Linked DNA regions of Anolis sagrei. The protein of the gene in region 2 purifies or fractionates together with the protein of the main gene of each other region. This does not show direct contact. Links are inferred from orthologs where the notes say so. Each region holds a gene or a part of one and is shown on either strand. Other genes may lie near its edges.

Region 1 (3,915 bases), about 20 Mb from region 2:
TGGAAAACTTGCATAGTCTGCTTGATAAGGCCTCTTTCCTCCTGCAGGAAGTTCCTATCCACTTCTTCCTGCCTTGTGGATCCTAAATTTGGTGGACTCCAAAGTCTACTGACTTGGAAACAGACCTCGAGTTTGCTCCATGCGACATTGATTCTGGAAGGAACATCTTCCAAATCGGGTCGAACTAAGCCTCAAAACCAACGCCACCTTAACTGGGGAGAAAAGTCCACTGGAGATCGGCTGGTCCAAGTAGGACTCACTTCGATGTTAGTGCTAGTGGGATGTAATGGCGCATAGAAATCAATGAGACTTGGCTTCCTGGCTGATGTGTTTTTAGGGTCGCAGTGAAAAGCTGGCAGGGTTTGGCCCTGGGAGGGAACCGAAAGCCCCCCTCCCTTTGCCCACTCTTGTATCTGAGGGGAAAATGAAGGTTGGAAGTTCTCAATTTCTCCTCTGCCTTCACCCCTCTCTCATTCTGGGCAGCCCTCTTTGGCCCTCTTCCTTTCTATCCCAGGAAACGTTCTGCACTGTGTATCCCACCTTCTCTGCCTTTTATTTCTGTGCGTCCCCTCCCTCCTTTATCAGCAACTGTAATAGATTGGAGAATTTATGGAAGTGTATCGATTCTCTCTCACATTCCTCCCTCTCCACCCCCTGGGTCAGGAATTTTAGAGCCTGGCGGCACATTATAATACATAGGGACAGGAGGACAAGGACGAGCTGTTAGCACGTCTTGATCTTTTCCTAAAAAATAATTTCCATGGAAAATAAAACGCACCTGGAGGGAACCGCCGATGGCAGAAGAAGAAGAAGGTGCGGGATTCGTGGGAGGAGGAGGAGGAGGGAGGGGCAGGGAGTGAAAGAGAAACTATGAGCAACTCCTCTTCAGACAGGCATTTCATTATGCCTGAGTTTCATTAAAAATGTAGCTCATTCCCTTCAAATATTTAAAACCTTTTGACATTAGTCAAGCGGCTGGGATTAAAGCCTGCACTCTTTGGGACTGGAAAGGGAAGCGGTGGAGGGGGAAAGGAGGACCAGGTTCGTTACAATAACGCAGGAGGGGGACTCCAGCAGAACCCGGATCCCATCCCCTGCATGTGTGTGCGTGATGTGTAAAACTACCTCAGACAGGCCACGTAAATCACTCCTGGAGAGTGACAGCTAACAAGCCTTTCCGCTCCATCAAGAGTCTCCGGACTTTGTTTGGATGCAGAAAGTTAGGGAAAGAAACGAACCAAGTGAAAGGGGGGGACACAGCCTGCCCCTTCTTTGCCTCCCCTTCCTCAAAAAAACCAAAACAAACAGGCACAGATGACACGGGAATGATCTGAAGTGGGAGAAAAGTTTGGAGAAAGTTTTCCTTCTCTTCCAAACCAGACTTGGAGGGGAAGTGAGATGGGGAGGACATTTCCTGTTTAGGCATGGGGTGCAAAGATGTCTCTCTCTGTGTGTGTGTCCCAACCCTGTCTCCCTCTGAAAGTCACGAGTCCCCGAAAAGTCCAGAGTCAAGGGCAAACTTACTGTTGCAGGAGTTCATCCTCTGCATCCAGGGGTACACGGGGGTCGAGCACTTCTGGTCGTCGCTGTCCCCGAAGACGTGTTTGCTTTGGGAGCAGTCGGACTTCCTGCCCGACTCCTGCCCGAACTGAGCCGGGTCGTCCAAACTGGAGAGGGAGCAGGCGGAGGTCTCTTTCTCCCGGTAGAAGCCCGGGGGCGTCCCGTAATCGCAGGCGGCGGGGCTCCGGCTGTAAGGCGCCCCTCCGTTGGCTTGCTGGTAGTAAGGCGCGCCGGGGTAAGCCTTCTCTGGGACGCCGCCGGCCCCAGGTCCATAGGTGGCGGGGTAGTGCCTTAAAGGGTCCGCGTACCCAGTGGGATACAAGGGCAGCTGTCCCAGGAAGGGCTCCTGGCCCCCGGCTAAGCTCACCGGGAAAGTGGAGTTGACGAAATAAGAACTCATTGGAAAATTAATAATAATAATAACAACAATAATGATAATAATAATAATGCAGAAGAGCAGAACCTGCTCTTTCCCGGGGTCTTTATGATTTGTTGCGTTTTATAGTCCAAGCGGTTTAGCTATTAGCAGTATATGGGAGATTGGGTTTTAGCTGAAGGGGGATGGCCGCGTGCCAACCAGGGACATAAGGAAAGAAAACCATCTGATCAGGCGCTGACCAATCGCAGGAGCCGAAGACGCCGAAATCGCACCCTGGAGGGGTTCGCTTTGCACAGGGGACCCCCCTAGAACAAACCAGCCACAGCATCTCCGCCACCAACAACCATCACTTTCCAACAACAGAGAGAGCGAGAGAGAGAGAGAGAGAGAGAGAGAGGAGGGGAGGGGGGAAACACTCCCAAACGCACCCCCCCTCCTTCCACCTATCCGAGCTCAACCCTCAGATATACACAAACCCACACCTTCAAACCCATGCTCCCCCTTTGAGCCATATATAGTCGTTCTCTCAGAGATAAGATCCATCCCTACGAATCGTTTTGGAGTTTCCTTTTAAAACAAAAAGAGGAGTAAATAAATAGAGGAGGAGGAAGAGGAGGAAAAGGGAAGTGTGGAAGCACAAACGAGGGAGGAGATGAGCCTGGTTGCGAATGTGGAGAGGCGAAAGGAGAGAGGGAAAAGGGGGTCTCTCTCTCTTTTCCTTTGGAAAAAGTTTGGTCCATTTCAGCGTGTTTATAGGGTGGGTTTGGAAAGTAAGGGGGACCTCTACACACACTCACACCGGTAGCAAAAGAAGGAGGAAGCCTCTATCTTTGGAGGAGGAAAAGTTCAAAACTCCCCTTCCCCTTATTTTTTTTATTTTTTTTGGAGTAGGTCTAACCTATCCGGAGTATCCTAAAAATAACTTGAATCCTGTTCCTAGTGAAGGATGAAGGGGAATTCCTTTTCCAAGCTCCCCTCCTTTCATTCCACCTGATTTTCTCCATTAAATTTACCTAATGGGTTGAAATGGCGCGCGTGGGGGGGGGGAGCGTGTTTACATTTCCACGCGTGTCCCTTTGGTCGCCCCGGCCCGTACCGTTTTATGAAGTCCGGAAGAGGAATGGATCGAAGGACAGAGCTCGAAGGAAGAGTCCGTATATCTGTCTTCCCACAACTGTGCCCTCTTGCGTTTTTTATGCTGGCGGCGGGGCTTTGGACAGTTTAGAGTTAAGGAGAGCTAAGGCTGGTCTGGCGGCCGAGAATTCTCCTTTATTGATCACCCAGCATCGAAACCCAATAGGTAAGGCGACAGCGATTGGTCATCGAGTAAATGATATATATGGCCCTATGGGTCGATATAAGGTGAGCCCCTCGTGAGGGAGTTTGGGGCGGAAGGGTTTGTTTTTGTCTCGAAACTCGGAACTGATTGAAGTGGCTCAGAAATCAGAATTCGGTAGAATACCTTGTATTTCAAAAATGAATGAAAGGGTCATGATTATTTCACAAGTTCCTTTCCAAGTCACCGGTTCACCCTGGTGAAGAATTCCCTTCACTATAAGGCAACTCAAATATGTTGCCTTCCCCTGACTTCGACTTTATTTCTAGACTCTCTTATACTTCGAGAAATCTTTTCCAAATGGTCCAACTGTAGACTTGAGTGGCCTGTCCCTTTCTCTGTTGTGTTTGCCTTCGTTCTGCTTCTTTCTTTTCTGTGAGACGTCTAAAGTATCCTGAACCGTCAAAACTAGGTTGTTGTGAGTTTTCCGGGCTGAATGGCCATCTTCCGGAAGCATTCTCTCCTGACGTTTCGCCTGCATCTATGGAAGGCGATACCTCACGACTAGCTTTGAAAGTTGTAAATATATGCCTCTAATTTAGCCCAGTTTTTGATGGTCTGAATTGAGGTCGATGTCGTTGCAAATCTGGACAAATGAAGTTGTAATCCAATCTACCTATCTATCACCCGTCTATTACAG
Region 2 (3,915 bases):
CACTGAAATACTAATAAGTTTATATTTGTTAAAATTGTTCTTCATTTTAATTATTGCATTGTTTTTAAGTGTTTTTTGCACTACCAATAAGATATGTGTGCATAAGAATTAATTCATGTTTTTTAAAATTATAATCTGGCCCTCCAACAGTTTGAGGAACTGTGACCCGGCCCTTTGTTTAAAAAGTTTGAGGACCCCTGATATATATGGAGCCCCCGGTGGCGCAGTGGGTTAACGTGCTGAGCTGCTGAGCTTGTTGATTGAAAGGTCGCAGGTTCGATTCCGGGGAGCGGCGTGAGCTTCCGCTGTCAGCCCTACCTTCTGCCAACCTAGCAGTTTGAAACATGCAAATGTGAGTAGATCAATAGGTACCGCTCCGGCGGGAAGGTAACGGTGCTCCATGCAGTCATGCCGGCCACGTGACCTTGGAGGTGTCTATGGACAACGCTGGCTCTTCGGCTTAGAAATGGAGATGAGCACCACACCCCAGAGTCAAACATGACTGGACTTAATGTCAGGGGACTACCTTTACCTTTGTATGTATATATATATATATATATATATATATATATATATGCTCTGTGAATCATAGAATCAAAGGGTTGGAAGAGACCTCATGGGCCATCCAGTCCAATAGATATATATATTTAGAAGTCCAGCATTGAAGAGAATGTCTTTCTTTACTTTTAAAAAACAGAAAACCTCCGCCTATGGAGGGGAAACAAAAAAACAAAACAGGCAGAAAGGGAAAGCCTGCAGCGAGAAGGACTCTCACCTTTGTACACCCCTTATAACGGCGCGGGAAGATGACGTTGGGCGGCTACCCGGAAGCTTCATCCGCGGAGCCTGCGCAACAGGGTAGGCCACGAGCCTTTCCGGCAGCCGCGCATGCGCCGAAAGGGGACTGACGGAAAGAGCCAGAGAGGGGAAAAAAGAGAACCGGGTCGCGTGGGGTCCCGGAAATCTCGCGAGAGTTTCGTCACGCAGCCTCACTTCCCTCCTTCCTGCCTTCCTCGCGCGACGGCTCTGGAGGTGACCGGCGGTGAGGGAAAGAGAGAGAGAGAGAAAGAGGCAGACGTGACGATGGAGCTCCCGCCGCTTCCCCCTCCCCCGGCCCCGGAGGAGAAGGGCAGCGGGGCTGAGCAGGAGGAGGAAGGGAAGCCCGCCTCCCCGGCCACCGCGGAGGGGCTGGCACGCGTCTGCGACCTCCGCGTCCAGGGAGAGGAGCCGCCTCAGCAGGAGCAGCCAAGCCCGCTGTCGCCTCTTCTCCCTCAGCCGCCGCCGAAGCGGACCTGGACTCGACGCCGACGGCAGCACCAGCAGCAGCAGCAAGACAGGCCTCCCGGAGTGGAAGGCGGCGGGGGCAACAGCAGTAGCAGCAGCAGCGAAAGCAGCGAGGAGGAGGAAGAGGAGGAGGAAGAAGAGGAGGAGGAGGACGACGAGGAAGACGAGGACGAGGACGACGAGGAGGAGGAGGAAGAGGACGAGGAAGAGGAGGAGGAAGAAGAGGAGGACGAGGAAGTGTCTGAGGTAATCCACTCTTCAGGGTTAGCTTCTTGCTTTCTGGAAGAGGAGCCTGGCCTGGTTACCTAACCTACGCACATCTCCATTGGCATGTAACAGAGTTTGGAAACTGCATTATATCACTTCACTTTGTTTCATAACTAGCTTGGGTACCTGGTGATGTCCAGGTTATTTTATTTATTTAGTTATTATTCAAACTTATATGTTGCCACTCCCCAGGAGCTCGGAGCGGTTAACAAGAATGGCTAAAATCTAACACAATTTATAACCAGCAATATCAAAAATCAAAGTCCTGTCGAAACAGGTATGTCTTACATGCCCTGCGGAAAGCTGATAAGTCCCGCAACAGGGGGACTTCAGGTGGCAGAGTATTCCAGAGTGATGGTGCCACTGTTGTAAAGGCTCTGCGTCTGGTTGCTGTTAGACGCAAGGTCTTGACACTGGGAATTTCCAACAAATCTTGGTCCTCAGAAGGGAGGGATCTCTGGGGTTTGTAGGGGGTGAGGCAGTCCCTCAGGTACATCGGCCCCAGACCATGCAAGGCCTTCAATTATTATTATTATTATTACTTTATTTGTACCCCGCTAGCATCTCCCAAGGGACTCGATGCGGCTTACATAGGCCGAGGCCTCAGAACACAATACAACAATACAATACATAAAGCAAATTAAAAACAGTTAAGCAGAGTAAACAATAACAGTAACAATACATCGAAACAATTATTAAAACTGGGCCGGCCAGAGTAGTGGGTACAGGATTAAAAGTGCTGATATTGCGGGAGGAATATAGGGTTATAAAATAAGTGCAGTGTGCGGTGTACAATGATCGTGGTTCTATTAAAGTGCATCTGGGACTTGGTATTGAGGTTCCTAATCTGAAAAGGCACATCGGAACAGCCAGGTTTTCAAGTTCTTCCTGAAGACTGCCAATGTAGGGGCCTGTCTAAGATCTTTTGGGAAGGCGTTCCAAAGTCGGGGGGGCACCACAGAAAAGGCCCTGTCTCGCGTCCCCACCAAGCGCGCTTGCGACGCGGGCGGGATCACGAGCAGGGCCTCTCCAGATGACCTAAGTGAGCGTGTGGGTTCGTAGATGGAGATGCGGTCACGCATGTCTTACATGCCCTGCGGAAAGCTGATATGTCCCGCAACAGGGGGACTTCAGGTGGCAGAGTATTCCAGAGTGATAGTGCCACTGCTGTAAAGGCTCTGTATCTGGTTGCTGTTAGATGCAAGGTCTTGACACTGGGAATTTCCAACATATCTTAGTCCTCAGAATGGAGGGATCTCTGGGGTTGGTAGGGGGTGAGGCGGTCCCTCAGATACATCGGCCCCAGACCATGCAAGGCCTTAAAGGTGAGTACCATCACTTTGAAAGCTGCTCAATTGGTAACCAATGCAGCTCTAGTAAGATTGGTGTTAGGTGGCATCTCATCGGAATTCCCACAAGAAGCCGAGCAGCTGCATTTTGTACCAACTTGAGCTTCCGGATCACCGTCAGAGGAAGGCCAATGTAGAAGACATTACAGTAGTCCAGTCTTGAGATGACCGTAGCCTGGATCACCGTAGCTAGGTCGTCCCTGGACAGGAAGGGGGCCAGCCGTTATTTGAGAAAGGCATTGTTTGTTTTGGGGTGTTAGGTAATACCATTTAGTAACACGATTTAGTAGGAAAAAAGCCAATTTTTGATATTGTCCCCTGTCCATCCTCTCCCAAAACTCCCCAGGATAAAAAGTATGCCATGGAGAATCTCTGTGGTAAGTTTGGTCCGTCATTCGTGGGGGTCTCAGTTGCCTCAGGATGTGGATGAAGGTACCGCAAATCCCATCATTTTATTTATTGGGTTGTTGTAGGTTTTTTCAGGCTATATGGCCATGGTCCAGAGGCATTCTCTCCTGACGTTTCGCCTGCATCTATGGCAAGCATCCTCAGAGGATGCTTGCCATAGATGCATGCGAAACGTCAGGAGAGAATGCCTCTGGACCATGGCCATACAGCCCAAAAAAACCTACAACAACCCAGTGATTCCGGCCATGAAAGCCTTCAACAATACATTTTATTTATTTATTTATAATTCAAACTTATATGCCCTCTACTCCCTCTCGGAGCGGCTTACAAGAACAGGCTAAAATCTAACACAATTTAAAAACAACAATATTAGAGATCAAAGGTCCATCCTTCCCCAAAACATAAAGTAGGTCGTGGGTCTTTGTGTCATGTGTGGTCCAGGTCCATCATTCGAGGGGGTCACACTTATCCCAGGAAGTGAGTGAAGGTCCTGCAAATCCCATCATCTGTGGCAAGTGTGATCCAGATCCATTGGTTGGGTTCAGAGTGCTGTCTGGATGTAGGTGAACTACAACTCCAAGAAATCAAGGTCACTTCCCCCCAAACT

Evidence for each region.
Region 1: the proteins of ANKRD17 (region 2) and HOXB6 purify together in Homo sapiens (co-immunoprecipitation; 3 studies listed by BioGRID and IntAct, with this or other methods). This does not show direct contact. The link is inferred for Anolis sagrei from reciprocal best matches to the Homo sapiens genes ANKRD17 and HOXB6.

Annotation. Positions count from the first base shown.
Region 1 is NC_090026.1:33,152,630-33,156,544, reverse strand, and holds the start of HOXB6 (homeobox protein Hox-B6), read right to left. Parts: upstream 2,969-3,915; 5' UTR 1,961-2,968; coding exon 1,525-1,960; intron 1-1,524. UniProt on the Homo sapiens protein: Sequence-specific transcription factor which is part of a developmental regulatory system that provides cells with specific positional identities on the anterior-posterior axis.
Region 2 is NC_090026.1:53,232,818-53,236,732, forward strand, and holds the start of ANKRD17 (ankyrin repeat domain-containing protein 17), read left to right. Parts: upstream 1-873; 5' UTR 874-888; coding exon 889-1,530; intron 1,531-3,915.